Linked DNA regions of Ovis aries. Each later gene encodes a partner of the first gene's protein in a complex. Links are inferred from orthologs where the notes say so. Each region holds a gene or a part of one and is shown in the gene's direction. Other genes may lie near its edges.

Region 1 (3,500 bases):
TTATTGAAATAAGTAGAACTCAGCATGATGGCAGAGAAGAATTTCCAAATAATATAATGCAGAAAGCTTAATCCACTTAAATAATTTCAGATTGACTTGGTATTGTTTTTCATAGAAATTATCTGTGTATTTAAAATGGGCATTGTTTAAAAATTCTGATACCATATAAATAGTAAATATTTTCAGAATATACTTTTTGCGTTTTAAACTATGTAAATATGTCACTATTTAAGAAATTGTTAAAAATAAATTTAAAAAAATAACCGTGAAGCACCTTGACAGCAGACTCTTTTGGAAAATTCAAGAAGAGTTACTGGATCATGTTCTCAAAGCTTATTTTTCTGAATTTCCTTAGGACAGAGGAAGGAATTGATGGAGACTAGGAAGCAAGTCTACATTGTGGACTCTGGTTACCCAAACTAGGAACTCAGGGACCAATAGTGTTTTTTGTTTTTTTTAAAAATAATGTTATGGATTCTATTAGTGTTGCATGCATTATTTAAATGTTCACAGTTGCCCTGTAAGATCTGTTTTTACTCCTTTTAAACACTTGGAGATTTAAGAATTAAATACCATGTTCAAGGTCACACAGGCATTAAATGGCAGAGTTAAGATTCAAACTCAGGTTTCCCTGACTCCAGAGTCTTACTCATCAAGCTGTGTTACTACTTAACATGCCAGTCCTGCCTTGGGAAGATAGGTTGAAAAATTCCAGTGATTAACTGTGTAAGCTTATCTTTACTAAATTTGCTAGCCTATGGTACAGGCAGAATATAATGGGATCATCAAAAAAATACTGGTTTCTCTAGATCTAAAAGCCCTTTGAGTTTAGGAACCTGTATGGGAGAAATAAAGAAGAGATGTTAACTGTTTTTCAACTTTTTACTCCACTGAGAGCAGATCAAACAGATGATGGAAGCAGCAACACGGCAAATTGAGGAAAGGAAAAAGCAACTGAGCTTCATTAGCCCCCCTACACCTCAGGTATTGTAACCTCTTTTCAGGTTTCTCTGAAAAGAAGACTGTTAAACACAAAATTTCTTGCCACCCACTCAAATGAGAGTCCAGAAAATGACTGCATGTTCCACCCTCAATTTACCACAGTCCACCGCTCCGTGTGTGTGTGTTTGTGTGTGTGTAAAAGAGAGAGATCTGTTTGCCTATGTTAATTTTTTCTGATTCTGATTTCTTTTTCTCTCTCACAGCCAAAGACTCCTTCATCCTCCCAACCAGAGCGACTTCCAATTGGCAACACTATTCAGCCCTCTCAGGCCGCCACTTTCATGAATGATGCCATTGAGAAGGCAAGGAAAGCAGCTGAACTACAAGCCCGCATCCAAGCCCAGCTGGCACTGAAGCCAGGTCTCATCGGCAATGCCAACATGGTGGGCCTGGCCAATCTCCATGCTATGGGCATTGCTCCCCCGTGAGTATCTATTTTATGGAACTCTTTTTTTCTGAAGCTTGAGAAGCAATAAATACCTTTGAGTGTTACTGATCCTTTTCTTCCAAGGAACTTAAATCATTTCTTAGTTTCATATTTCTTACATATGTTCAGTAAATACCAATTGAATTTATTCTCTTGGTTTCCTTGTTGCAGAGTTTAATTAGCTTCTTGTTATGAATGGTAAAACTAAAATTAAGATTATTCCTCCAGTACTGGAGCTAGGAATAGGATCAGGTCTCCTGGTTCCTAACTCAAGAGCTATTTCCATTAGACCACATTGAGTGAGACCAGATCTGAGCGTTCTCTGCAACTGGGTAAAAGTGATAGGCTTTATTTTTAGCACCTCAATTGGTTTGCCATTCCCTGACTCAAGAATTCAGGAGTAAAGAATGATAGGATTCTAACTTCTTCCCATTGTAATTTGTAAGTTCATTTCATCTGATTATACTCCATACTCAACTGTCCAGCTTCATATATTCAGTCAAGATGTTATTATTCATTGATGGGTTCATATTCCTTAGAATTTTGTAATCTAATTGTCTTTTGTGGGTTTTGATTTGTTTTTATTTTTTGTCTGTTTGTTTGCCTGCCTTATTGTTTTATATGGGATTTATTCCTCTTTTGGGCTTTTTTTCAGGAAGGTGGAGTTAAAAGATCAAACTAAACCTACACCACTGATTCTTGATGAACAAGGTCGAACTGTAGATGCAACAGGCAAGGAAATTGAGCTGACACACAGAATGCCTACTCTGAAGGCCAATATTCGGGCTGTGAAGAGAGAACAATTCAAGCAGCAGCTAAAAGAAAAGCCATCAGAAGACATGGAATCTAATACCTTTTTTGATCCACGAGTCTCTATTGCCCCTTCCCAGCGCCAGAGACGCACTTTTAAATTCCATGACAAGGGCAAATTTGAAAAGATTGCCCAACGATTACGGACAAAGGTATCTGGCTTAGAATAAAATCTAGAAATTTGAAGAAGTTAGGAAGGTGACAAAGGAAACTGTATATAATCCTGAAATACTGTCAACTTAATTCTCTATATGTTTTTGGCAATTAGATAAGTAGTAAAGCAATGAGTAATTTTTAAAATACTGTATTCCTGGAATACTTGATTTTTAGTGATTTGGTTTCTCAGTTACTTACGTTCTACTTAGGTAGAAAGGAAATTGAATTTGAAAATTCTCTACATACAACAATCAGTGGAGGGAAACTGTTCAGAAACCTCAGGACATCTGAGGAAAACTAGCCTGCAATTAACATTTGCTGCAGACAGTCCACATTCCTGGATAGTTTAATTGACCATATATTCAATGACTTTGACCTTCTTGTTTTCATCCTCTCAGAAGTTTTCCATAGAATTCCATTTCTGCATATTTGCTGCAGGCACGCACTGGGATAGAGGGGTGATGATGAGAGCCAAATATATGGAAATCAACCAAGTAATGAATAAAGTAAAGCAGAACAACTCTTTTTTCTTAGCTTTCAGAAAATCTGAATTTGTTGTGTTATATGTAAAGAGTTCAACAAGGGAGTGTTTTAAGATTTGGGATTCTACTGCTTCCCTATTTTCTGTGATTCCAGTTTATCTTCTTGTCTTACCTTGTCTTTAGGCTCAACTAGAGAAGCTGCAGGCAGAGATCTCACAGGCTGCTCGAAAAACAGGCATTCATACTTCAACTAGACTGGCCCTCATTGCTCCTAAGAAGGAATTGAAGGAAGGTGACATCCCTGAAATTGAGTGGTGGGACTCTTACATCATTCCCAATGGCTTTGACCTGTGAGTTTGTTGATTAATACCTTTTAATAAGGCTAGAGTTTTAATGGGAAAGATGGTACTCATGCATTAAGTACAAATTTTAAATCTAAGCCAAATAGATAACCATATACAAGCTCCATAAAGAACATGTTCTACGGGTTGATTTTAGTTTTTTGGGTCAATCAGTGTAGGAGGATTGGACACAGATATTTTCTGCTTGCTTTGTTATACATTGTTAGTGTTTTTAGCATATTTGTTTTCTTAATTACCTTCTTTTGCTACTTATAACAGATG
Region 2 (4,091 bases), on another chromosome or scaffold:
TCTGTCCTGGCCACAATGGCCTCTTTGTGCCTTTTACTCATTTTCCTCGCATTTGCCACAGGACTTCTGCACATGCTGTTCTAGATGGAACATTCTGCCTTCCTTGCTTCACCCAACTAATTATAATTCTTCCCTGAGGCTATCAGTTCAGGCATATTTTCCTTACAGAAGCCGTCCTGTTTATTCAGGCACTCATTAACACCAGGTACCTCTCCTAGGTAGCACACACTTCCATACTTCCCATTTCCTAGTGAGATCTGGTGAGCATCTATTTCCCCCCAACCCCAGACTTAAAGCTCTGAAGTCAGGGACCATGTTTGGTTCACAATGTCTGCCCAGTGCTCTGTATTATAAATATTAGTTGGACGACTGAGAAGAAGGCCTAGTTCACAGGTCTGAGTTCGAATTTCTCAACAAAACTGTACTCCGGAGGCCAAGAGTCGGACATTACCTTCATCTCTATCTTTCTGAGGAGGCGCTAGTAAAGGCTGCGGAATCATGGCAGTGACAAGTCCGCCTCTTCAGTCAGAGAGGACCCTGATGGAGGCTAGGAGATGGGCCTTTTCTCCCTGGGATCGCCTGGGCTAGGGCTCTGCACGGAAAACACTGTTGAAGAAGTCAGCCATCGAGGGCCCCAGGCTGAGCAGAGGCTCCCAAAACTCTGCTCCAGGCTAGAAAGGGAACCCAGGCTAGGTGCTAAGTCGCTTCAGTCGTGTCCGACTCTGCGACGCCATGGACTGTAGCCAGCCAGACTCCTCTGTCCGTGGGATTCTCCAGGCAAAAACACTGGAGTGGGTTGCCATGCACTTCCCCAGAGGATCTTCCCCACCCAGGGATCGAACCCGCGTTTCTTAGGCTTGGAACCCAGGCTACTACACACCAGAGCTAGGAACTCGGGGCCCCCTTTGCCCCTTGCAATCAAACCTGCATCTGAGAAGAGCCAGCCTCAGACCACTCCAGATCCCACAGCCACCCGCCCCTCGACCTTCCTTACACTTACTTGTTGTCTGCTTCTGGTCTTTCCCTCGCAGCATTGCGCGAAACACCAAAACCCAGTCAGTGAGCTTCCACCCACAAGACACAGCGCGCCTAGGCGGGACTCCAGCTCTATCCACCAATCCTGAATTCGTACTCTAGTGATGTCAGAAAGAACTGGCCAATAACAGGAAAGTTCTCAGGGGGCGGTGCTGAGAGGTATATTGGAAGTCGATTGGGTTCTATCGGCCGGAAGTTCTACGGGAAAGACTAAGTCCGAGCCAATCGTGAGGTACCTGAGGGGGTCGGCGCGGTCAGTGGCGGCCTGAGGATAGCGGCTGCCGCCATGATAGAACAGCAGAAGCGTAAGGGCCCAGAGTTGCCACTGGTCCCAGTGAAGCGGCAGCGACATGAATTACTGTTGGGAGCGGCAGGGTCGGGCCCTGGAGCCGGGCAGCAGCAGGCGGCGCCGGGAGCTTTGCTGCAAGCGGTGAGTATAAGGAGCAGGCGGCCTTCGGCCCTCAGCTCATCTTCCTCTCTCCTCAGCACCTGGTGATCCTGCGCGGCCCTTAACCCACACTCCCGGCCGGAGCGGGACTCTCTCTCCTAGGAGTTAAAGCAGAAAAACACGGTAAAAGCGGCGTACACCCGGCGATTCTCCCTGCGTTTCTCCATTTGACGCGCGTTTTCAGCGTCTTGACCGCCCTGTGAGGAGGTGTTAGAATTAAGAATTGAGGATCTTGAGCTAAAAACCGAGACCAGGGTTTTGACTTCTTAAATGTTCCAGGGATCCAGTATAGAATAAACGATAAATTTCAGAAAACTTGGAAGATTGGATGGATGAATGAATGAATGAATGAGGGAAGGGGGGAAATGAATGCCGCTGGCTCGTTTTGGGGACTTGGGAAACTTGCTTTTCCCGTTGTTTCTCTGCACTGGTATTAGTAATAACCAAAGAATAGTTACCATCCGTTGAGCCCTTGTGCTGTGTAAATGAAAACTGCATTAATCTCGGTAACTTCCCAAGAGTTAGGAAATATTATTATCCTAATTTGTAGACGGGAAAACAAAGTTATATAGTAAGTGATAGGACTTCCCTCATAGCTCAGCTGGTAAAGAGTCTCCCTGCAATGCAGGAGACCTGGGTTTGATTCCTGGGTCAGAAGATCCGTGGAGAAGGAAATGGCAACCCACTCCAGTATTCTTGCCTGGAGAAACCCATGGACAGAGGAGGCTGGTAGGCTATAGTCAGTGAGGTCGCAAGAGTCAGACATGACTTAGTGACTAAACCACCAGGAACAGCTTTTAAACTCAGAATCCATGCTCTTAACTACATTTCCTGTAAAACTGAGGTAGTGATCACACCTCTGCTTCTATCCTGTTAGGCTCAGCTGACAAAATATATGTCTTCCCGCCCCCCACAACTCCTCAACCAGCTGGTTAGCAAATGTTGACACCACCCTCAAACTATATCCAGACTCACTACCGCTTCTTCCACCTTCCAGCTTCTTTGGTGGCTCAGACAGTAAAGAGTCTGTCTGCAATGGGGGAGACCCAGGTTCAGTCCCTGGGTTGGGAAGATACCCTCGAGAAGGAAATGGCAACCCACTCCTTTTTTCTTGCCTGGGAAATCTCATGGACAGTGGAGCCTGGCGGGCTACAGTTGATGGGGGTCACAAAGAGTTGGACATGACTGAGTGAGTGACTAACACTTTCTACCACTTCCATCACTAGCTCCTGGTTTAAGCCATTAGGGCTTCCCTGTTGGCTCAGAGGTTAAAGCATCTGCCTGCCATGTGGGAGACTTGGGTTTGATCCCTGGGTCGGGAAGATCCCCTAGAGAAGGAAATGGTAACCCACTCCAGTATTCTTGCCTGGAGAATCCCATGGACAGAGAAGCCTGGTAGGCTATAGTCCAGGGGGTCGCAGAGTCGGACACGACTGAGTGACTTCACTTTTCCTTTTTTTTTTTGCGATTTCACTTTCACTTCACTTGTCTCATCTGGCACTATGGCTGTAGGATCCTACTGGAATTCCTGTTTCTGTTTATGGATGCTCAGTCTATTCCCAAACCAGTAGCCAGAGGAATCCTTCTAAACATAAGATCATATTACCCCCCGCTGAAAACTTGCCATGGTTTTTCACGTCAGTCAGAGTAAAACTGAAATCTTGGCAATCTTTTGCCCTCTTTCACTTGATCTCTCTGATCTACCAATTTTCCATTGCTCACCTTTCTCCAGTCACAGTGGCTTCCACGCTCCTGCTACAAAGTCTTTGCATTTGCTGTGCTCTCTACTGAAATACTCTTCTTCCAAGTGTCCACATGGTTTATACACTCAGCTCTTCCCAATCTCTGCTCAGATAACACTTTTCCACTTTCCTGACCAGCCCATTTTAAATTGCCATACCTTGTGCTCATCTACATTGCTGCTCTGTTTTTCTCCATAACACATGCCACCGTCTATATGTTTTACTTGTTTCTGCTCACCCTCCCTCTTTTCTGTCCTTCCCACTAGAACACAAGCTTCATTTTTTATTTTGTTCAGTACTGTTTCCTAAGTGCCTGGGACGGTACCTGACGCAGTATTTCCTGAGTAAATGAGTAAGCTGGAAACTAAGGAGATTTGCAGATTGTTAATAGTGTGCTTCTGTCTGGCAAGAATATCAGCCTGGGTTTCTTTGAATTGCCGCGACTGCAACTGGTCTTAATGTCCAAGACCATTATCAAAACTACTTTCTTCAATAACCTGTACCCTGCAGGGTTGTTGGAAGCATTCGTTCAATCATTCATTCATTAAACGAACTAGAGACTGGGAAACAGTGTCATGTTACACTGGTAAGGTTCCTGCACTACAGAGCCTTTCTCGTGGCAGAGCAGGGGAGACAAACTAAACAAATACATAAGAAACGTAATTTCAGATAGTGATAAGTTCTTTGAGGGAAAAAAGTAGTGTTGATCAAATGCAAAAGAGAGGTAGGGTGCTGCTTGGGCTTGAGTGTTCCAGGAACAACTTTCTGGAGAGAAAGCACTGGAAAGGAACCACACACAGAAAGATCTCGGGGAAGAGGCCTCCAGTCGGGGACAACAAAAGATCCTGAGGCAGAAGTAAGTTTAA
Region 3 (4,031 bases), on another chromosome or scaffold:
CATATCTGAGGTGATTGATATTTCTCCCGGCAATCTTGATTCCAACTTGTGCTTCATCCAGCCTGGCATTTTGCATGATGTACTCTGCATCTAATAAGTTAAATAAGCAGAGTGACAATATATTGCCTTTACTATGCCTTTCCTGATTTGGAACCAGTCTGTTGTTCCATGTCCAGTTCTAACTATTGCTTCTTGACTTGCATACAGATTTCTCAGGAGGCAGGTCAGGTGGTCTAGTATTCCCATCTCTTTCAGAATTTTTCACAGTAAATAGGCATTATTATCGGAAAGAGGCCTAGGGGAGAGGAGGGGGCTCTTTCCAGCTCTGGAAACATCAATATTTTGAGCATCTCCACCCCCTACAAGGAGAAGGAAATGGCAATCCACTCCGGTACCCTTGCCTGGAAAATCCCATGGATGGAGAACCCATGGGGTTGCAAAGAGTTGGACACGACTGAGCGACTTCACTTTCACTTTCACGCCCTACAAGGGGGCAAGAATCTTGTCTTGTCCGCCTCTGATGCCCCAGCACCCAGGGCAGCAGAGTCGTGCAAGTTGCTTGCTTGCAGTTTACCTGACGCCTCACATTCATCATCTCTCTCGGAATAAGACAGAAAGACCTGCTGAAGACAGCAAAAGCGGGGCGTGGCTCCTCCGCCTGGTCTTTATTTCACTTCGGCGCTAGAGGGCTCTTTGAACTTATTGTTTCACCACTGCCCAAATTCACCGAAAACCTACCCAGCCCAGAAGAAACTGCCAAGAGAACTTCCTGACAGTGGAGGAGAACAGCACTCCCGCCGCAGCTCCTGGGCTGCACTCAAGGGTCCAGGGCGAGAGTTTCCATGGCAACATAGGCCTTGGCGCCAGGAGGACTTAGAGCCCCTGGCCGGGCCGGGAGCCGATAGTAGGCCCCGGAATCCCTCGATTCGCTCCCTGAGTTCAGTTCGCAGCCGCGCGATTCCCCGCACCTACCTCTTTTCAGGCCTGTTCAGTCCCTTTCCGGAACCTCGGCGCCCACCCCGAATCATCCGCTAAGCCAACTGGACTACACTTCCCACACTGCCTCTGAGTTTCTCTCTTCGCAGAACCTTGGCCTCCGCGTGCTTCTCTCTGAGGCTCTACAGATCACATCTCTCAACTCGCCCAGACTCCCTCCTACTACGATTCCCATAATGCTCCACGCCTCCCAGGATGCTGCGTCGGACCTAGGACCACTTCCGGTTGGTGACGTAGTTCCGCTTTGCTGGGCGCGCGGTGGACGGTCTGAAACGTAGAGCGCGGCTTTCGCTGAGGCTTCGCGTCCCCGGAGCCCAGCATGGCTTCCTCACGACCCTCCTCCACGGTACAGGTCTCATTCTGGCAGGGAGCGCTGAGGGGGTGGGGGGGTCCCTGCGAAACAGGGCCATTAGGGAACGGGCTACGGCGGTGGAGGGCCGAGGAGGAAGGCTTCGGTGTTTTCCTAATTCTTGGGTGCTTCCATCTGTTTTAGCTCGTTTTCACCTCTCACTCCAGCCCCGAAATGTAAATATCTCTTCCGTCTGGTTCAGAAACGGAGCTCTGAAAGGGAGTAGAGTCTTGGCCAAGATTTATGACACTTTCAGAACTCTTAATTGTAACGAGGCCTCCTAACTTATCTACTGCTTCATATCCGAAACGTTTGAAATGTATGAACAGTAGCTTTCTAACTTGGCCCCCGTACCATCGCGTTGGTTATTTCAGTTATCCTTGATACCCCTGTGATGAGCAGTAATTGTGGAAATTTCATAAAAGCCAAGAAGAGATTTCACCTGCTGCAGCCGTATGAAATACACATATTCAAGAGAAAACCTTTGACAGAAAAATCAGCACGAGAAATTGACTAGTTTTATCCATCTCTTCCTATCTACAAAACTTAAGTGATTAAGAGACTGGAACCACTCTTTCCCTCCACCCCCAGATTAAGGAAGACACATTTTAACTGGTGTCTGGTTTGTCCTTTGTGTGGGGAAGAAATAGGTTTGAAGCTCTAAATAAGCTTCATTCTGCTGCGAAACCTATTAGGCTGCTAAGATTAAGCTTTAGGTTAACCTAGGTCTTTGTTTTAGCAGGCAACCAAAACTAAGGCACCAGATGACTTAGTGGCTCCTGTTGTGAAGAAACCACACATCTATTATGGAAGTTTGGAAGAGAAGGAGAGGGAGCGTCTGGCCAAAGGAGAATCTGGGCTTTTGGGAAAAGAAGGACTCAAAGCAGGAATTGAAGCAGGAAACATTAACATAACCTCTGGTAAGATTCAAATTGTGAGTTCATCTTTACCTTTGGTGCTCAAATTTTCTGTAATGATTACCTTCTTCATCTTAAATATCACTAGTTTATGTCAAGAAACTACAACTAATAAGCTTGCACCTATCAAAGTCCATATTCTCCACCTACCTGACTTGGTCTTATCATCCAAAGAACCTTTTTCTTAAAACCTTTTATACAGTTTTCCTTCAGTAAACTGTTAGTAATTTTACTAGGAATTTATTTATTCAGTGTGTATTTGAATTCAGAGTGATTTCCTTTGTCTTCTGGAGATCTAGTGTAGTTCTGGCGTTAGCTTGGAGCTACTGTGTTTCCTAATATTCTCCTCTTTTTAGTTTTTCAACTGTTTTTCACCCAAAATGAAATTATCTCTTCTAAATTTTAAAGTGATAGCCATCTTTATTTTGAAAGCAATTAAACAATAAAGAAACATATGAAGTAGAAAAACCTGTAATCTGTATTAATTGGAGCTATGTCATTTCAAGAACTTAATAAAGCTATAAAAATACACTTTTTTTTCCCATAAATGAAATCACGATAAACCAATTGTTTTGTAAGCTGCGTTTGTCATTGTGATACTGTTAAATGGGCTTTCCTGATGGCTCAGTGGGTAAAGAATTCACCTGCAGTGCAAGACACAGGAGACAAGGTGGCTTTGATCACTGGGTGGGGAAGATCCCCTGGAAGAGGAAATGGCAACCTACTGCAGTATTTCTTGCATGGAAAACCCCATGGACAGAGGGGTCTGGTGGGCTACAGTCTACCAGCTCTCAAAGAGTTGGAAACAAGTAAGCCAGTAAGTATGCACACACTGTTGAGGGTATTTTTTCATGCCAGTAACTAGTAGTCTACTATATTTTAAAAATAAAATCATTCATGTTTGTCATAAGAAATTCAGAAAGTATGGAAGGGTATAAAAAGACTTCTGTGCAGATAGGACTTCTGTTGTTTCTCATCGACCCTCCCACACATTTTCTTTTCTATACGTGTGCACTTTTCATGAGTTTTAAACCTTTTATGTTATTTTAAACATGACTGCATCACCCTTGTACTTCTCACTTCTCATCCAAATGCTTGTTTTTTATGTGAGTTTTAAAACTAGCTACTAGATTATCCAAAAAGCCTTGTAGTTAAGGCTTTATCATTTTCATGGTAATTATTTCCAGTTCACTGTTAGATTTGTTAGTGTTCCTATACTGAGACTATTTCAGAGAGTAGCTTTGGCAACTGTTGAAATAATGTTTCTATTTTGCCATGGATAGAAAGCCTAGATAACTTGTTAAAAGTGCTCCATATTCTCATTGTCTCATGAAGGCTGTGTGTTTATGTAAGTGTAAGTTGCCAAATGAAACAAGATGACTTGAACCAGTTTCTGGCCTTTAAAACCTCATTTAGTTTTCTGTGTTTGGCATACTTTAATAAACTGAGAAACTAAAGTTTCTAACAGATTAGTTAACTGTCCCTAGAGGCATGCAGCGGAGAAGGCAATGGCACCCCTCTCCAGTACTCTTGCCTGGAAAATCCCACGGACGGAGGAGCGTGGTAGGCTGCAGTCCATGGGGTCACTAAGAGTCGGACACAACTGAGCGACTTCACTTTCACTTTTCACTGTCATGCATTGGAGAAGGAAATGGCAATCCACTCCAGTGTTCTTGCCTGGAGAATCCCAGGGATGGGGTAGCCTGGCGGGCTGCCGTCTATGGGGTTGCACAGAGTTGGACACGACTGAAGCAACTTAGCAGCAGCAG
Region 4 (4,142 bases), on another chromosome or scaffold:
AGCAAGATATTGACTTAAAGCTTATTTTCTTGAATTTTAAACTCTATCAGGTAGCAACAATACCTTGAATTTGGTTCCTATTCACATTATGGTATGGTGAAAATGAAACAAGAATAGATATAGGAAAACAAATTTTTTTGGCATTACTTTGTCTTGCCAAAGAATGATGTGACGATTGACTAAGATCCCTGAAGTTAAAAGAGCACTTTTTGCTTTACATATTAAATTCCACGTGCTTTGTACATAATGCTTGCTAGTTGTCTTTCTCCCCCATTTATCCTTTAGCTCCTATAAGGGCAGAAGACGTTGTAGTTCTGTTCTTTACGCTGGTTATACTGAGCAAAATGCCAATGTTCAACTAAAGTATTTGTTCGATGAATGAATGATTGGTGCTTTGCAGCCATTGTGTGAATGAATGATGTCCTTCCTGGCCTTTCCTGCTTAAACTCTTTAGCTTTAAGCTCCTCAGATATAAACATAAAATAGACCAACGCAAAAAATTTGTTCGCTTTTTCTTTTCAAAACAGATGCGTAAAAGCAGCAAGGCTTCCTAAATGTGATGTTATTAACATAGAATGACATCTGGTGGTTGCCTGTTGGACTGTGGAAGAAATAGTGTATACAAAATGTATAGCAGACTCCTAGATATTACAAGATTAAAAAGGACAGTTCAGTTCTGTCACTGTTTTGTCCGACTCTTTGCGACCCCATGGACTGCAGCACACCAGGCTTCCCTGTCCATCACCAACTCCTGATAGTAGAAGATAGAAAACAATAGAAATGGAAAAAATTGAAAAAGTAGAATAGAAAAATAGAAAAAGAAAACGATAGTAGAAAATAGAAAACATACTTAAAATTTCCCCCTCGCCCAACAAACTTTATTAAAAATGCTAGTTGTGGGTTTTCAAATCATCAAACTTTTAAAAGAAGCGGTAGATTTTTTTTTTTAACGAAAATTGCAACACAATGAATCGGTGGCGGGAAAATCAAATTTATTGATTCTGGTCGAAGAAAGATCCTGGGTTGATATGAGACACACCTCGATAAGGGGAAATAAGACAGCACAAAGGCTTCCGTTTCGCAGGCTTCCGGATTAGAGAAATAACTTATTTATAAGACCGGAGATCTCTAAAGTCTCTTGGAAGTTTGGAGAGGCGAGTTATCTGTGGAGAACCTAGAACGCTCAGTGAACAGAAACACTTTCTAGAATCTCCCTGCAGGATAAAGAAGTGGCTGGATCTCCTCAATCGCACTCTCGGCCTCAGATTGGTCGAGCCTGCCTGGGCCGGAAAAAAGCGGAAGCGCGCTCTTTCAAACTCGCCGTTCCGACGTCGATAGAGGCAGGCCACTTCCGGCGTAGCCATGGCGGCTAACGCTACCACTAACCCGTCGCAGCTGCTTCCTCTAGGTAATCTTTGTCCTGTTGGGGAGCCGGGGCGGGGAGTTGAAAGTTAGGGTTGGGGCCGAAGAGCAAGGCAGTCCCTGACCGAGTGTTAGAAAAACGTAGCTTTCTCTGCAGCTCTCCTTTAGGCTCCAAGTCTCGGCGGCCTGAGGCCGCACAAGTCTCTCTGGCGTGGGGGAGTCTTCTTGAGGCAGGGGTTTTTGACTCCCCAAACCTTCACCGGAAAGGTTCAGTCTTGGTGAATGTGTCGTTGACCTTCTTTGTTGGGTGCTCGCCTTTATAATAGTAAGAGGCCCATTCCGCAACCGGGCTTTTAAACTACCCGGGTTATATCCTGTCTGGCTGGTTTCTGAGTGAGGCACTTGGGTCTGGAATGAGCCTTTAAAGAGGCCTCTGAAAACTAGCTCTTGTTACTCATTTATTCAGCAAGCAGTTACCGCGCCATCTGTGCACTAGACACTGTGATTGGGCACTGTTCAACAAATTTAAATCACGGCCATTACCTTCAGATAGCATACAAACCAGTGTAGGAAACAGGATACAGGGCAGACATAGACTTAATGACAAGGAGGAATCTCTGGTGAAGACAGTTCTGCCTTTTTTTTCCCCTTAATATTTTATATTTGAAGGGTTATCGGGTTAGTGGATGTGGCAGTTATTGTAAAGGTTTTTTTCCATCCTGGAACAAATTCTTCTGAATGACCAGTACATTTCAGGCATTGTCCACTGGGGATACACTGATGAGTAAAAACCACCTCTCAGCTCTCTTTCAGCTTAGAGTCAAGAGGGGCGTTCATATGTTAATCAGATAACTAAAATAGTATTAAACTACAACCATGATAAATTGCTACAAAGGAGGGTTAAATGAATAACAGGGAGGGAAAACTGTCCTTTTAATAGAATGACTGAACAGAGATATGTAACATAAGGTCTAAAGTTTTGGAGTGAATACTTTTCCTGGCTTATCTTTTCACCATATGCATGTAACAAGTGTCAGTAGGCATTCAAATATTTGTTAATGTTATGAATGGGCAAACTAATCTTCTCTCTCCCGCCCTTATCTGCAGAGCTTGTGGACAAGTGTATAGGATCAAGAATTCACATTGTGATGAAGAGTGATAAAGAGATTGTTGGCACACTTCTGGGATTTGATGACTTTGTCAGTATCCTTTTAAAAGGTGGTTGTATGGATTTTTCTTCAGATTTTTAAAAAAGAACTATAGACTATCAGTACTTACCGATTATTATAATAAAGTTTAATTTATTTTTTTGGAAATTGTGATAGTGTTTTAAGGGATTGTGGTACTGAAAGATGAAGTTCCTACCAATTGCACGCAGCTTGCATTTGAGCCATTGTATTCAATGTTATAATTAAAACTGAACAAAGAAATAAGCCAGAGTAAATTTAATTTGGTATGTTTATTTTCTTAACACCAAATTTCAGATATGGTATTGGAAGATGTCACTGAATTGTGAGTAGTGTTAAAAATTAAAGAATGGGTAGGGGGAATCTCTGTTTGATTTAAGGCAGTTTTAGTGCTGTTGAGTCAGTAAAAGGATGTAGGAGAGCACACTGCCTGTTTGAATTACTCTAAAGAGAGAAAGTTTACCTACTGATGTTAGTAAAATTGGATTGGAGGATTATTACCATAATTTAATTGTCACTAATTGCTAGGAAGTTAGTGGAGACAAAGGTTTAAGGTAAAAGATACTAAAAGCAGCCAGGGATCTTAGCGCTCAGATCAAATAAAGGAACTTATAATAAAAACATTTAATGTTTTAAATTAGTTACTCTAAAACTTATGTGTATATATATATATATAAACATTTTATTTCATATTTGATCTCCTTGGTAAGTTTCAGTTTTTTAGATGAAGATCTGCACTAGTGGATGTGGGTCTTAGGCCAGTCAGTCCACTCTCTTGCCTTTGGAGAATTGACATCACCATGGGGATAACCTTGTCTCTGGAAAGTGTACAGTTCATTTATATATAGTAACTAACCTTTTGGTGGATCAGAATGTTGGCTTTGATTATCACTCTTTATCCTGACTTTTTGAAAATCTTTTTGTTTAGTGAAATCACACCAGAAGGAAGAAGAATTACTAAATTAGATCAAATTTTGCTAAATGGAAATAATATAACAATGGTAAGACAGTGAAGGTCTTTTATTTAGATGTTAAGCCATCTTTGTGGGGCAGGGATTACAGAACTGACTTGATTGACTCAATGTTCTTGGCCCAGTGGTGCTTAGGGTGGGAAGGGAATGCTCTGCTGATCAGGATTCTGTGGCCAAACTGTTGAAGATGACATTAGGCCTAAGATTAGTTTGTTTATACCTTTTATCTTATGTATTTTTAAAATATTTATTTATTTTTTTATTTGGCTGCATTGGGTCTTAGTTGCATCACAGAAGATCTTTACTTAGTTGCAACATGTGGGATCCAGTTCCTTGACCAAGGATCAAACCTGGGCCCGCTGCATTGGGAGCATGGAGTCTTAATCATTGCACCACCAGTGAAGTCCCTGCTTGTGCTTTTTAATCATTTATTTTACCAAGAATTAACTGTTGAAACATTAAATCACTAAGTATTAATTGATACTGTTGGAATTGTAAACAGAGGTGACATGGGGAAAATGGGAATATGAGGGAGAGGCAAAGGCTGATCAATGACCAGTCAGTGAGCTCTCAGTAGGGGTTTTTAGATCATGTGGTACTAAGTTTTAAACTTTTTCCTCCT
Region 5 (4,087 bases), on another chromosome or scaffold:
CGGAGTTCACTCAAACTCACGTCCATCGAGTCGGTGATGCCATCCAGCCATCTCATCCTCTGTCGTCCCCTTTTCCTCCTGCCCCCAATCCCTCCCAGCATCAGTCTTTTCCAATGAGCGTCTGCCTGCTGCTGCTGCTGCTGCTGCTAAGTCGCTTCAGTCGTGTCCAACTCTGTGCGACCCCATAAACAGCAGCCCACCAGGCCGGGGTTCTCCAGGCAAGAACACTGGAGTGGGTTGCCATTTCCTTCTCCAATGCATGAAAGTAAAAAGTGAAAGTGAAGTCGCTCAGTCGTGTCCGACTCTTAGCGACCCCATGGACTGCAGCCCACCAGGCTCCTCCGTCCGTGGGAGTTTCCAGCAAGAGTACTGGAGTGGGTTGCCATTGCCTTCTCCAGAGCGTCTGCCTACAATGTGGGAAACCCGGTTTTGATCCCTGGGTCCGGAAGACCCTTTGGAGAAGGAAACGGCAACCCATTTCAGAACTCTTGCCTGGAAAATCCCATGGACGGAGAAGCGTGGTAGGCTACAGTCCACGGGGTCGCAAAGACTCTGACACGGCAGAGTGACAAAATGAATGAGTGACAACGCCGCCGCGATGCACCATTTAAAAATTTTTTTTAACAACAAAAACATTTGTATTGGGGTATAGCCCATTCACAATAACAATGGTTGATAGTTGCGGGTGAACACGATGCAGCACTTTTAGAAGCAAATGCAAACTGCGAACATGCTTTTAACTACTGACTTCTCCAGATATGTATACCATACGGTACAACTGTGGAACTTTGTCCGGGGTCGTTTAGCTTCTAAAACGTTAATTTTCGGCCTCTGCAGTACAAAATTAGGGATTCCACATCCGGGCGTCTACACTTCATACCAGAACAGCACTAGTCTCTACTTCACTTGTGGGGAAAAAAACACACACAACAAAAACCTTATTCGGTTTTCTCCTGCCTTCCCCATCTTCTCTCAACATTTCCCCTTAGTAACTTCTGCCACTAAAGCCTTCCATTCCGCTATGAAGCGCGCTCGCCCACCTTCTCCCCATCTTCAGGGAGCTTCTTTCTTTCTTTCTCCCACCGCCCGTTCTCTTTGGTTCTTTCCGGCTTCCAATATCACCCGCAAGAGCAGAAACATACTGCACACGCGCATTAAGGCCGTCGTCGCTTTGCATCTCGGGAATGCTTGGCCGGTTTCTTTCAGTCTCTGATTCGCGGAGGCCGCCCTGCGGTAGTTCTCGCGGTATTTGCTGCCGCCAGTCGGCGAGAGAGGCTGCTGTTCCCTGGCGGTCCTTTCTAGCTCATCTGGACGCCGGGGCTCTTGTGTTTCCAGTTGCCAGGTCGCGTATCATGACGTCCGCCTTGGAGAACTACATCAACCGTACCCTTCAGTCGGCTATCGCGGGCATTAGCTAAGGCCTTGGTGAGGCCCACGTCTGGCCCCGGAGTGGACCAGTGCTGGAAAGGCCAGGGGTCGGGATCGGCGGGCGGTTGGGGCACCGAGCCACTGACGGGCTTGGGTCTCGGGGTGGGGATACAGAGGTTAAGGAGGCTCACCCCTGGGACTGGAGCCCGCAGCTCCTGCTGGTCCAAGGCGTCTTAACTTGATGGAAAAGCCGAGCAAAACCGACAAGATTATTCTGAACTTTTCCGTGTCTCTATAGAAATCAGTTATTGATTCACCCTTTCCATTTCCCTCGGGCCTATACGTTCACGTTTGGGAATAAGATAGTTTTACCAGCTGCGACGGTGGACTCACAAATCTATGTGTTTGTTTTATTCATAGGCTTTGCTCAGTCTTCAAGGATAGCAGAAACTTTACAGATGATGCAAAAATCGAATGTCTGCCCCTTTACCAGCTGAAATCTCAACTTTATTGTTGATGGAATTAAAATAATGCTTGCTGTTGTAATAGATCGGCTTGTGGGGCAAATAGCTTTAAAAAGCTCCTGTAATAGTACTCTATGCACCATTTTAAAGTCTCGGGACAGAAACATTACGTTGTGCTCTCATGTACAAATTTGGGACAAAAGTGGAATGCTAAAGGTTTTTCTTTTTAAATGATGCAAGCATATTGATACTTGTGATATTGATTATAGTTTCTTTTGAATTCCAGAAGGCAGGTCCTAGAAGACAGTGTCTTAACGTATTAAATCATTTGACATTGAATAGCACTCATCCAATTTTCGTTTCAGAGATGATGAAACAGGTTTAAAAAAAGGAAAAATATCTTGCTCAATTTTCATATTTGCAATATTCCCTCATTAAAAATGAGTACCAAACATCCCAGCTTGTTTTAAGATAGAATACACTGATCTCATAAAAAGGATGTTTTCTATTTTTCCTTTTTTAGATTGTGTAGTTGTCACAGAGAATTAAGAACATACAATTTTATGTTGTAAATGTGGCTGTGTTAAATAGTTGTATCTTAATTCTGTCACCTTTTTTCCTAGTAATTTAAGCCATTTACTTACCAGATTTTAAGTTTTCAGTTTGCATTCCCTTAGAAATGCTTTCCTTGATTCAGTTATCAGGAACTGTTGCTGTCATTACTTCTGATGGGAGAATGATTGTGGTAAGTATTTGGTGTATTCATTCTCTGCTTTCTTTTAGGCTTTTCTGCCTGTGATGCTCAGTTGTCCCAGACTCTTTGTGACCTCCTGAAGTGTAGCCTGCCAGGCTCCTCTGTCCATGAACTTTTCCAGGCAAGAATACTGGAGTGGGTTGCCATTTCCTGCTGCAGAGGATTGTCCCAACTCAGAGATCAAACCCGGATCTCCTGCGTCTCTTGCATTGGCAGGTGGATTCTTTGCTGCAGTGCTACTTGGGAAGCCCACTCTTGAAGGCTTACTGGTTGTAAATTTTTATGTACAACCTCTGATCTCCAGTGCCTAGGCACCAGAGTACACCTGCATTGCAGTTTTCTTATGATTCAACTCTTTATCTCTTTGATAAATAGCTGCCAATCCGTTTTTTTTTTTGTTTTTTTCATTAATAAACATTGGCTGTAAGTTACATACAAGGCTTCTTCTAGAAGCTTGGATGAATAACAGAATCTGCCCTTAGAGAACTTCTGGTCTAGTCTGCAGATATTTGTCTATATTTTGTATTTATCTTGCTTCATCTTTTATTTCCTTCCTCATTTAGTGCTCTGACATCTACTACATGAATCATACAGGTTGTTTTTTTTTTTTTTTTTTTAAATGTGTGTGTGTGCTTTTTGGAAACTTTTAAAAAAGATTTAGATACTACCTCTATATAATGAACATTTAAGACATGTACATTGTTAATCTTCAGATATTCTTAGGTTGTAGAATCTCGTGCTTCTGTAGAATAAATTATGATGAATATTGAAGTGTATTTCATCTCATTTTTCCTTTTATCGCTGTATCCCATTTTAATTCCAGAAAAGTCTTGGATTCTCTCCTTGATCTGAGGAATTTATTCCATGATTTTTGGTGGCTTAATTTCATTTATAATTCATGATTGTTAACTTTCAAAAAAGTTTTAAGGCTGCTAAACTTTATTGTCTTCTATAATTCATAGAATTTGTTCTTCTATCTTCCTACTCTGCAACTGATGTTTTTTTCTTTTTAATCCTTGGGGTTTTTCTCAGTGGGTCCTTAAGTGGCAATTACCAAGTGTCAGACTTTGCCATTTATTAAACATGTGTCATGTACCAGGCATGTCCCGTGTGTTACATCACTTAATCCTAGTACAACTCTGTGAGGAAGAACTAGCCCTGCATTCTAAGCTAAGAACCTGGATCAGAAAAAGAGTCACTTTCCCAGAGTCATATGAATGTATGTGGCAGAGCCAAACTGGGATTTAAACTAAATTTGACTCCAAAGCCTAAGGCCAGTCGCCTTGCTTCCTTTTTAATCAAGAGAGCAGTCATGGTTTTGTTTATTTTTTTAAGGTACTTCACATTGTATTTTGTCAAATTAAGAGAGTTTGAAATATTTTAATCTCATCTTAACTTTGAGAAGTTATAGCTATTAAGAAATATTTGCAAATAGTTTTTTAGTTTGTGGAAACCTTGGGTTTAAAATTTTTTTTTAATGGTATAGATGATAAATTGGAAA
Region 6 (3,500 bases), on another chromosome or scaffold:
AAGATGTAGACAGAGTGATTGAGAGTTCTTGGTGTTCTGGGGATATTGGTTGTACCAGTGTCTTCCTGGAAGCCTAGACTCCTGAGCCCTCTCCACTTTCAGGGATGTGATGGATAGCACCACCACTCAGAAGTATTGGATTGACATACAGTTGCGCTGGGGGGACTACGATTCCCATGACATCGAGCGTTATGCCCGGGCCAAGTTCTTGGACTACACCACAGACAACATGAGTATCTACCCTTCGCCCACTGGTGTGCTCATTGCCATTGACCTGGCATATAACCTGCATAGGTAAGTTGAGGCTCAAAAGCATGTATTTTTCATCAGCCCCATACTTTGTTTTAATTTTTAAAAATTACTTATTTTTAGTTGATGGATAATTGCTTTACAGCATTGTGTTAATCTCTGCCATTCATCAGCATGAATTGGTCACAGGTATATCATATGGCTCCTCCCTCTTGAATCTCTCTCCCACCCCATTAATTTTGAATTATAGTTGATTTACAGTGTTGTGTTAATGTCAGGTGCACAGCAAAGTGACTTAGTTATACCTGTATCAGTTTTTTTTTTCAGATTCCATATAGGTTATTACACAGTATTGAGTTGTCTGTGCTATACAGTAGTTCCTTGTTATTTATCTGTTTCATATACGGTAGTGTATATGTTATTATCAGCCTCCTAATTCGTCCCCCCACCCACCCCATACTTCAGTATGCATGTGCTTTTTGGTTTGCTAAGGTTTGCCGGTTTGCTCGTCTGGGTCACTGACTCTTTCTCGCCTCTGTGTAGATGATCAGACACTTTCATTTCAGCCTGGCAAACAGTCTTTTTTTCTCTGTAGTTGCATTTTGCCTTGTTCCTGGGAATTCTAGTCTGGTCTTAATCTTTCTTGCCTCTTTCCCCTTCACAGTGCCTATGGAAACTGGTTTCCTGGCAGCAAGCCTCTCATACAGCAGGCCATGGCCAAGATCATGAAGGCAAATCCTGCCTTGTATGTGTTACGTGAACGGATCCGTAAGGGGCTGCAGCTCTATTCATCTGAGCCCACTGAGCCCTATCTGTCCTCTCAGAACTACGGTGAGCTCTTCTCCAACCAGATTATCTGGTTTGTGGATGACACTAATGTCTACAGAGTGACTATCCATAAGGTGAGAGTTAGACGCATGTGGGGGTGTGGGGTTTTGTATATGCCTATGGGAGGGTGACTGGGCAAGTGTGTGCATACTGGAAGGAAAGCAGGCTGATTGTGTCTAGACTGTGCTAACTGATGTAATCATTCTTTAGACTTTTGAAGGGAACTTGACCACCAAACCCATCAATGGGGCCATCTTCATCTTCAACCCACGCACAGGGCAGCTGTTTCTCAAGATAATTCACACATCTGTGTGGGCTGGACAGAAGCGTTTGGGGCAGGTGAGCCTGTTAAAGGGTAGAGAGGCTATAGAACCATGCTGCCTCTTATTCTTTGGTATTGGGTGGATGTGTGAGAAAGAATCTCCCTATTTCTCTCTTTGCAACTTTGAGGGTATCTCATTTACACTTTTCCCCCTGAATTACTTAACTTGGGAAGTGTTCTTGTAAGAAGTCCAAGAATAATTGAGGTCCTTCATCACCCACTAACTGGGCTTTCTGCTTCGTGAGTTATCTGTGCTATACAGTAGTTCCTTGTTATTTATCTAGATCTTGTGTCTCTAACCTATCTTGAAGAGGGCTATGAAAAATCATCTTTCTAAAGGGAACATAGTCTTAAAATGTCGGTTTCACCAAGTCTCTTCTCTGCCTCAAAGCCTTTGGTGACCCTTACTTCTTGCTAAGGTAGCTCTGGTTTTCTAGGTGCTTGATGTCTAGGCAGGCTGTCATCTGTCCAGCCACGGTTTCTTGTCCTCTGCAGCATGCCCCTCTGGCAGTCAGTCCAGGATCCTGGTATCCCAGACCCTGGTGAACATCTCTGCCTCTGTGGCTTTGCTGGAATGAACTCTTCTTTTAGCTCTGTTAATCACTGTCTCGCTCAATCCTCAAGACTTCCTTCTTTGTGCAACTTTTTGTGACCTTTAGCCTTTATTTCTTTTGTCCCTGACATAGTGTGTATATAGTCAAACACTAGCTTGTGTGAGTTTCCTCTGGCCAGCTAGGTTGAAACATCCTTTGGGGCAAGACAATTGGACATTTTTTCTATAGCTCTTGAGTACCTAACGATTAGGAGCATACAGTAGAAACATAAGGTAAGGGTAAGTGTTTCAAGACTGGGATGTTCTGTTCTATCTGACCTGGGAGGGCAGAGACTCAGTTTCCCTGTCCTCCTTTCTTATTTATTAGTTGGCTAAATGGAAGACAGCTGAGGAGGTGGCTGCTCTGATCCGATCTCTGCCCGTGGAGGAGCAGCCCAAGCAGATCATTGTCACTAGGAAAGGCATGCTGGATCCACTGGAGGTGAGTGAGAGGTGGTGAATGAGTAGGAGGAAAGAGGGCTGAGACCTGCTGGCTCTGTTTCTAAACTTGGACTTGATCTTGTCTCAGGTGCACTTGCTGGACTTCCCCAATATTGTGATTAAAGGATCAGAGCTCCAGCTCCCCTTCCAGGCTTGCCTCAAGGTGGAGAAGTTTGGGGATCTCATCCTTAAAGCCACTGAGCCGCAGATGGTTCTCTTTAACCTCTATGACGACTGGCTCAAGACTATCTCATCTTACACGGTATGAAACCAGCTTGCTGGGAGCGTCACTCTGAGAAGAGTGGGTTTGGGATCACAAGAAAGTCCTGTGCCTTAGCTTTCTCACAGGCCTCTTGGGGGGGTTATTTTCACCTCATCCACCTGTGGATGAGCCAGTGCCCCTGTCTTTGGTGAGGGGGACCCCTTAGGGGTCAGTCTCCAAAGGGATGGGCTGGAGGAGAGGGAAGAGCGTCCAGTTGCTGACCCCACGCCACCACACCTCTCCGCAGGCCTTCTCCCGCCTCATCCTGATCCTGCGTGCCCTGCATGTGAACAACGACCGCGCGAAGGTGATCCTGAAGCCAGACAAGACCACGATCACAGAGCCGCACCACATCTGGCCCACTCTGACGGACGAGGAGTGGATCAAGGTGGAGGTGCAGCTCAAGGACCTTATCTTGGCTGACTATGGCAAGAAAAACAAGTGAGCAGGGGTGGGGGCTACAGAGGAGAGCCGCAGGGGGTGAAACAGGCGGCTCAGTGTATGGTTTCTGGGATTTTTGAAACATTTTAAGCCGAGACGATTCTCAAGAAATTGTCATGGGGATGCTTATAGGCAGTATCTTCTGATGGTACAGGAAGTGTCCGTGTCTCCGGGCTCAAGCTGACTCTTGGGCACTGTTCCTCAGCAGAGGAACTGTTGCCATTTTGAGCAGGGTGTTTCTTTACTGCCCATGCAGTCCAGGAAGTTCTCACATCCCAGACCCCTCAGTACCACCACTCATCACACACACACACACACACACACACACGGAGTTCTCACATCCCAGACCCCTCAGTACCACCACT
Region 7 (4,028 bases), on another chromosome or scaffold:
ATGGCGAAGCGCTCCCGGGCGGGGTTCCCGGACCGGAAGGAGGCAGGTCGAGGAAGTCCGCGCCCGACCGTGCTGCGGGTGGCTTTTGTACGCTAGTTGCGAGGGATGGTCAGGCTAGATGGATGGGGGTTTGGATAGGTCGCCAGGGCGAGGCGTCGCGGGCTGACAGGTCCTTCTGCGTGGCTGGGGTGGGGCGGCTTTAGCCGGCGAGGTGTGCTGTCATTGGTCCCCGGGATCCGGGAGGCGCCCTCCCTTCGGGACTTCCCCCGCCGGCCGGGAAGAACAGGGGCGGCTCATCACGGCAACCAGCGAAGTGTGCTGTCATGGTCCCCGGGATCTGGGAGGATCGTTGCGTTAGGGACCTTCTCGCTGACAGGAGGGAGCGGAGGGGCGGCCCATCACGGCCCCCGGGGTCCGACCTTACACTTCACTATGTCCCTGAGTTTGCGCACACTCATGTCCATTGAGTTGGTGATGCCGTCGAACCATCTCATCCTGTGTAGCTAACCCTTCTCCTCCTGCCCTCAATCCTTCCCAGCATCAGGGTCTTTTTTACAGAGTAGAACTGGTTGACTAGTGGTAGGAGGGCAGAGGTGCCTCTTGCCCCTCTCCATGGCGGGGGATGGGGGTGCGGGGCGCTTCATTGTTGGAGAAGAAATTAAGTCACTGTCTTCGACGAGTTGGCCCCGGCGGGAGGGCAGCTACTTCCTTCCCTGATGTTCCCGGGGCCTTGGAAAGGGCCCTCCTGCAGAACGTGACAGGCATTTAGGGGCAAAGGGGAGTCGCCTGGGTGCCCAGAACGAAGGTCGCGGAAGCATGGGTTCTAGGTGGGGGTAGGTGAGGAACAGAGCTTTGTTATCAATTGTTTAATACAGAGGAAAAACCGAAAGGAAGATAACACACATACGCACGCACGCGCACACGCGCGGTTCAGTCTGTTGCAAGGTGCGAGTTCCCTCAGCCAGAAATCCGGCTCATTAGCCTGCATAGCTCATAGGACTGTTACCAGAGGAAGAAGGGGTTAAAAAAGCACTTGGGACAGGATAGGGTGCTAAGCAGGCGTACGTTTCGCTTGATGTGGGAAGTCTTTGGGAGCCGCAGGCCAGAGCCCAGGAGAGTACGGGCCGTGGTTCCGGAACCATCGTTCGAGGGTACCAGGATTCGCCGGTCCCAAACCGGAGCGCAAGCGCCCGGTCTATTTCCCGCCTGCACTTCCGGCGTCCGACCCGGAAGTGGAAGGGAAACCATCTTGCTCTCTCTCTTTCGGCCGAAGTGCGTCCCGCCTGCTTCGTTCCGGCACCGTTTGTTAGCGTGTGGTCCTGGGAGCGGAGTTCTGAGACTCTTGAGCAGCCGCGGCCATGGCGGATGTAACCGCCCGTAGCCTGCAGTACGAGTACAAAGCGGTGCGTATGGGCTCGGCAGAGGGCTCCGGGCGGGGGAGTCTGATAGGGAGCGGGAGGCTGAGGAAGGGGGTTTCAGTCTAAAGGTAAACGCGAGAACCGCGAAAGCAGAGGAGAAGTCAGAACCTGGCGAAGGTGGGGGTACACGGCGATGTGAATGACCCCACTGGTGATTGGGGCTCAGCTCTTACCGGCGTGGGCCAAGAGCTCTGCGAGGAGTGTTTGTCCCAGTCCCGGCAGCGCTCTTCCCGCCCCCTTCCATGTATCATCCCCAACGTGCCCGACACTTTTCCCACGTGGGAGTTATTACGAGCAGTATTAGAAGCAGTGATTGTTATGTTGATTTGTTTGCCCTTTGCTCATGCGCGATCATACGATGCGCTTCTCAAGGAAAACATCTTTTTATTTCGACTAGTGATTATCGACACTTAGTCGCTCAGATTCTTCCTTTGCTGTCAGCTGGCAACCCTGTGATATAGTTGAGTCCTGCTTACCTCAGAGCTTCAATAATATTGTGGTCTTTTCAGAACTCGAATCTTGTCCTCCAAGCTGATCGCTCTCTCATTGACCGGACCCGCCGGGATGAACCCACAGGAGAAGTGCTGTCCCTGGTGGGGAAGCTGGAGGGCACCCGGATGGGAGATAAGGCTCAACGAACCAAACCACAGATGCAAGAGGAAAGAAGAGCTAAGTGAGTATCAAAGGGAAAAAATGATTTTTCCTCAGATGCAGAATCCATTTTCCCTTGGTATTTGAGCAGTGCTTTTGCTGAATTGCTTGGTGCAGGATGAGCCATCAGTGGCATTAAGACAACTCAGTGAAGGTAACAACATAAGAATGGAAAGATTCTTTGGCCTTAACAAGTGTACCTGAAGTGGAAAACAGCTTTTAGACCCTTTTCCAGCATGTGTTTCTCATCCATCAGCCGCTCAGTTGTGTCCGACTCTTTGCGACCCCATGAATCGCAGCACACCAGGCCTCCCTGTCCATCATCATCTCCTGGAGTTCACTCAGACTCACCTCCATCGAGTCCGTGATGCCATCCAGCCATCTCATCCTTGGTTGTTCCCTTCTCCTCCTGCCCCCAATCCCTCCCAGCATCAGAGTCTTTTCCGTTGAGTCAACTCTTCTCATGAGGTCCCAAAGTACTGGAGTTTCAGCTTTAGCATCATTCCTTCCAAGGAAATCCCAGGGTTGATCTCCTGCAGGATGGACTGGTTGGATCTCCTTGCAGTCCAAGGGACTCTCAAGAGTCTTCTCCAACACCACAGTTCAAAAGCATCAGTTCTTCGGCGCTCAGCCTTCACAGTCCAACTCTCAGATCCATACATGACCACAGGAAAAACCATAGCCTTGACTAGACGGACCTTGGTCGGCAAAGTAATGTCTCTGCTTTTGAATATACTATCTAGGTTGGTCATAACATCCATAGAGAGATCTTAATTTTCTTGATGGTATTTTCAAGACTCTTGGTAAACTCTTGTCAGAGTAAGTCTTTCCTTCTATTACTGACTTTCCGCTACTTCTTTGGCTTGCTGTTGCCTGCTTTTTCTTTTGTTGTTATAAACTACCATTTGAGCGTGAAAGGCTGGTGTTTTGTTTTGCTTTTTAGTTGGTTTTTTACCTTGGGGAAGGGGGATATTTTTCCAGACTTTAAAGAATCATTGAACTTTATCTCATGGTTATCCTTTGAGCCTGATCATCATCTGTCCCATGATGAAGTCTCAAAAATTCATAGGTCCAGTTTTGATTAAAGCAGTTATATTTGAGATGAGTTACTTATCATTGGTCCTCCATTTTGCAGAGTATGACTTCTTTTCCAGGAATCAATGGCAGTAGATTCCTTTGGAGCTTCAGTTCTCTGGCAGGGAAAGGAAGATGTGTCTGAGGGATGAAAACTAGTCAAATCCGATCATATAATGTTGTGATACAAAGTAGAAAGGGTTGTCTTTTTAAATGAACGGGGGGGATGTCTCAGCATGCAGTGCATCTAGTGAGAGGATGACGGGATTCCCTTGCTCTTACCGTGTTCCCGTAGAGATACTGCCGCAAGTGACTGAGGCCCGATGGGCATCATTTGCTGAGGCACACATTTGTGGTTTTAAATACTGCCTGTGAATCATGCAGCTGAGAAGGGGAGCGTGGGCTTGCCTTAGTCTTACCATTAACAGGGAAGGTTCTACCTGTTCAGTGTCATACTGTGTGTTTGTTAGGCGAAGAAAGCGTGATGAGGACCGGCACGACATCAACAAGATGAAGGGTTACACTCTGCTCTCAGAGGGCATCGACGAGATGGTGGGCATCATCTACAAGCCCAAGACCAAGGAGACCCGGGAGACCTATGAAGTGCTGCTGAGTTTCATCCAGGCTGCCCTTGGGGACCAGGTAAGGCAGCCAGAGGGTGGAGCCACGCGTTTTTGGAGAGGGAGGAAGTCATAGCTAGGAGGCCCCAGAGGAACCTTGTTTGTGGATTTTTCCTGTGTGGGCCATACCAATATGCGGAAGTGGCTGGTGTTCACTTTACGTGACGTAGCACTTTTTGTGTGTTCTCTCTTTCAGTCTTGTTAACTCTGACCTGGTGCTATTAATATTCATTTTTTATTTTGCTGGAGGGATGTGCGGCAAAGG

What was found.
Region 2: PRPF3 (region 1) and SNRNP40 share a complex: the UniProt entries of both Homo sapiens proteins name them as parts of the U4/U6-U5 tri-snRNP complex. The link is inferred for Ovis aries from reciprocal best matches to the Homo sapiens genes PRPF3 and SNRNP40.
Region 3: PRPF3 (region 1) and PRPF4 share a complex: the UniProt entries of both Homo sapiens proteins name them as parts of the precatalytic spliceosome. The link is inferred for Ovis aries from reciprocal best matches to the Homo sapiens genes PRPF3 and PRPF4.
Region 4: PRPF3 (region 1) and LSM5 share a complex: the UniProt entries of both Homo sapiens proteins name them as parts of the precatalytic spliceosome. The link is inferred for Ovis aries from reciprocal best matches to the Homo sapiens genes PRPF3 and LSM5.
Region 5: PRPF3 (region 1) and LSM8 share a complex: the UniProt entries of both Homo sapiens proteins name them as parts of the precatalytic spliceosome. The link is inferred for Ovis aries from reciprocal best matches to the Homo sapiens genes PRPF3 and LSM8.
Region 6: PRPF3 (region 1) and PRPF8 share a complex: the UniProt entries of both Homo sapiens proteins name them as parts of the U4/U6-U5 tri-snRNP complex. The link is inferred for Ovis aries from reciprocal best matches to the Homo sapiens genes PRPF3 and PRPF8.
Region 7: PRPF3 (region 1) and SNRNP200 share a complex: the UniProt entries of both Homo sapiens proteins name them as parts of the U4/U6-U5 tri-snRNP complex. The link is inferred for Ovis aries from reciprocal best matches to the Homo sapiens genes PRPF3 and SNRNP200.

The regions. Positions count from the first base shown.
Region 1 is NC_056054.1:100,400,259-100,403,758, forward strand, and holds part of PRPF3 (U4/U6 small nuclear ribonucleoprotein Prp3), read left to right. Parts: intron 1-900; coding exon 901-984; intron 985-1,205; coding exon 1,206-1,426; intron 1,427-2,084; coding exon 2,085-2,391; intron 2,392-3,060; coding exon 3,061-3,227; intron 3,228-3,500. UniProt on the Homo sapiens protein: Plays a role in pre-mRNA splicing as component of the U4/U6-U5 tri-snRNP complex that is involved in spliceosome assembly, and as component of the precatalytic spliceosome (spliceosome B complex).
Region 2 is NC_056055.1:236,094,116-236,098,206, forward strand, and holds the start of SNRNP40 (U5 small nuclear ribonucleoprotein 40 kDa protein), read left to right. Parts: upstream 1-1,291; 5' UTR 1,292-1,321; coding exon 1,322-1,465; intron 1,466-4,091. UniProt on the Homo sapiens protein: Required for pre-mRNA splicing as component of the activated spliceosome. Component of the U5 small nuclear ribonucleoprotein (snRNP) complex and the U4/U6-U5 tri-snRNP complex, building blocks of the spliceosome.
Region 3 is NC_056055.1:10,447,135-10,451,165, reverse strand, and holds the start of PRPF4 (U4/U6 small nuclear ribonucleoprotein Prp4), read left to right. Parts: upstream 1-1,231; 5' UTR 1,232-1,315; coding exon 1,316-1,348; intron 1,349-2,084; coding exon of another isoform or gene 2,085-2,087; coding exon 2,088-2,265; intron 2,266-4,031. UniProt on the Homo sapiens protein: Plays a role in pre-mRNA splicing as component of the U4/U6-U5 tri-snRNP complex that is involved in spliceosome assembly, and as component of the precatalytic spliceosome (spliceosome B complex).
Region 4 is NC_056057.1:65,579,067-65,583,208, forward strand, and holds the start of LSM5 (U6 snRNA-associated Sm-like protein LSm5), read left to right. Parts: upstream 1-1,342; 5' UTR 1,343-1,362; coding exon 1,363-1,408; intron 1,409-2,469; coding exon 2,470-2,565; intron 2,566-2,846; coding exon 2,847-2,874; intron 2,875-3,477; coding exon 3,478-3,550; intron 3,551-4,142. UniProt on the Homo sapiens protein: Plays a role in pre-mRNA splicing as component of the U4/U6-U5 tri-snRNP complex that is involved in spliceosome assembly, and as component of the precatalytic spliceosome (spliceosome B complex).
Region 5 is NC_056057.1:84,396,579-84,400,665, forward strand, and holds the start of LSM8 (LSM8 homolog, U6 small nuclear RNA associated), read left to right. Parts: upstream 1-1,287; 5' UTR 1,288-1,352; coding exon 1,353-1,383; intron 1,384-2,536; coding exon 2,537-2,577; intron 2,578-4,087. UniProt on the Homo sapiens protein: Plays a role in pre-mRNA splicing as component of the U4/U6-U5 tri-snRNP complex that is involved in spliceosome assembly, and as component of the precatalytic spliceosome (spliceosome B complex).
Region 6 is NC_056064.1:22,651,302-22,654,801, reverse strand, and holds part of PRPF8 (pre-mRNA-processing-splicing factor 8), read left to right. Parts: intron 1-102; coding exon 103-294; intron 295-913; coding exon 914-1,151; intron 1,152-1,287; coding exon 1,288-1,416; intron 1,417-2,319; coding exon 2,320-2,433; intron 2,434-2,520; coding exon 2,521-2,694; intron 2,695-2,941; coding exon 2,942-3,135; intron 3,136-3,500. UniProt on the Homo sapiens protein: Plays a role in pre-mRNA splicing as core component of precatalytic, catalytic and postcatalytic spliceosomal complexes, both of the predominant U2-type spliceosome and the minor U12-type spliceosome.
Region 7 is NC_056056.1:104,064,009-104,068,036, forward strand, and holds the start of SNRNP200 (U5 small nuclear ribonucleoprotein 200 kDa helicase), read left to right. Parts: upstream 1-1,228; 5' UTR 1,229-1,358; coding exon 1,359-1,403; intron 1,404-1,927; coding exon 1,928-2,091; intron 2,092-3,613; coding exon 3,614-3,785; intron 3,786-4,028. UniProt on the Homo sapiens protein: Catalyzes the ATP-dependent unwinding of U4/U6 RNA duplices, an essential step in the assembly of a catalytically active spliceosome. Plays a role in pre-mRNA splicing as a core component of precatalytic, catalytic and postcatalytic spliceosomal complexes.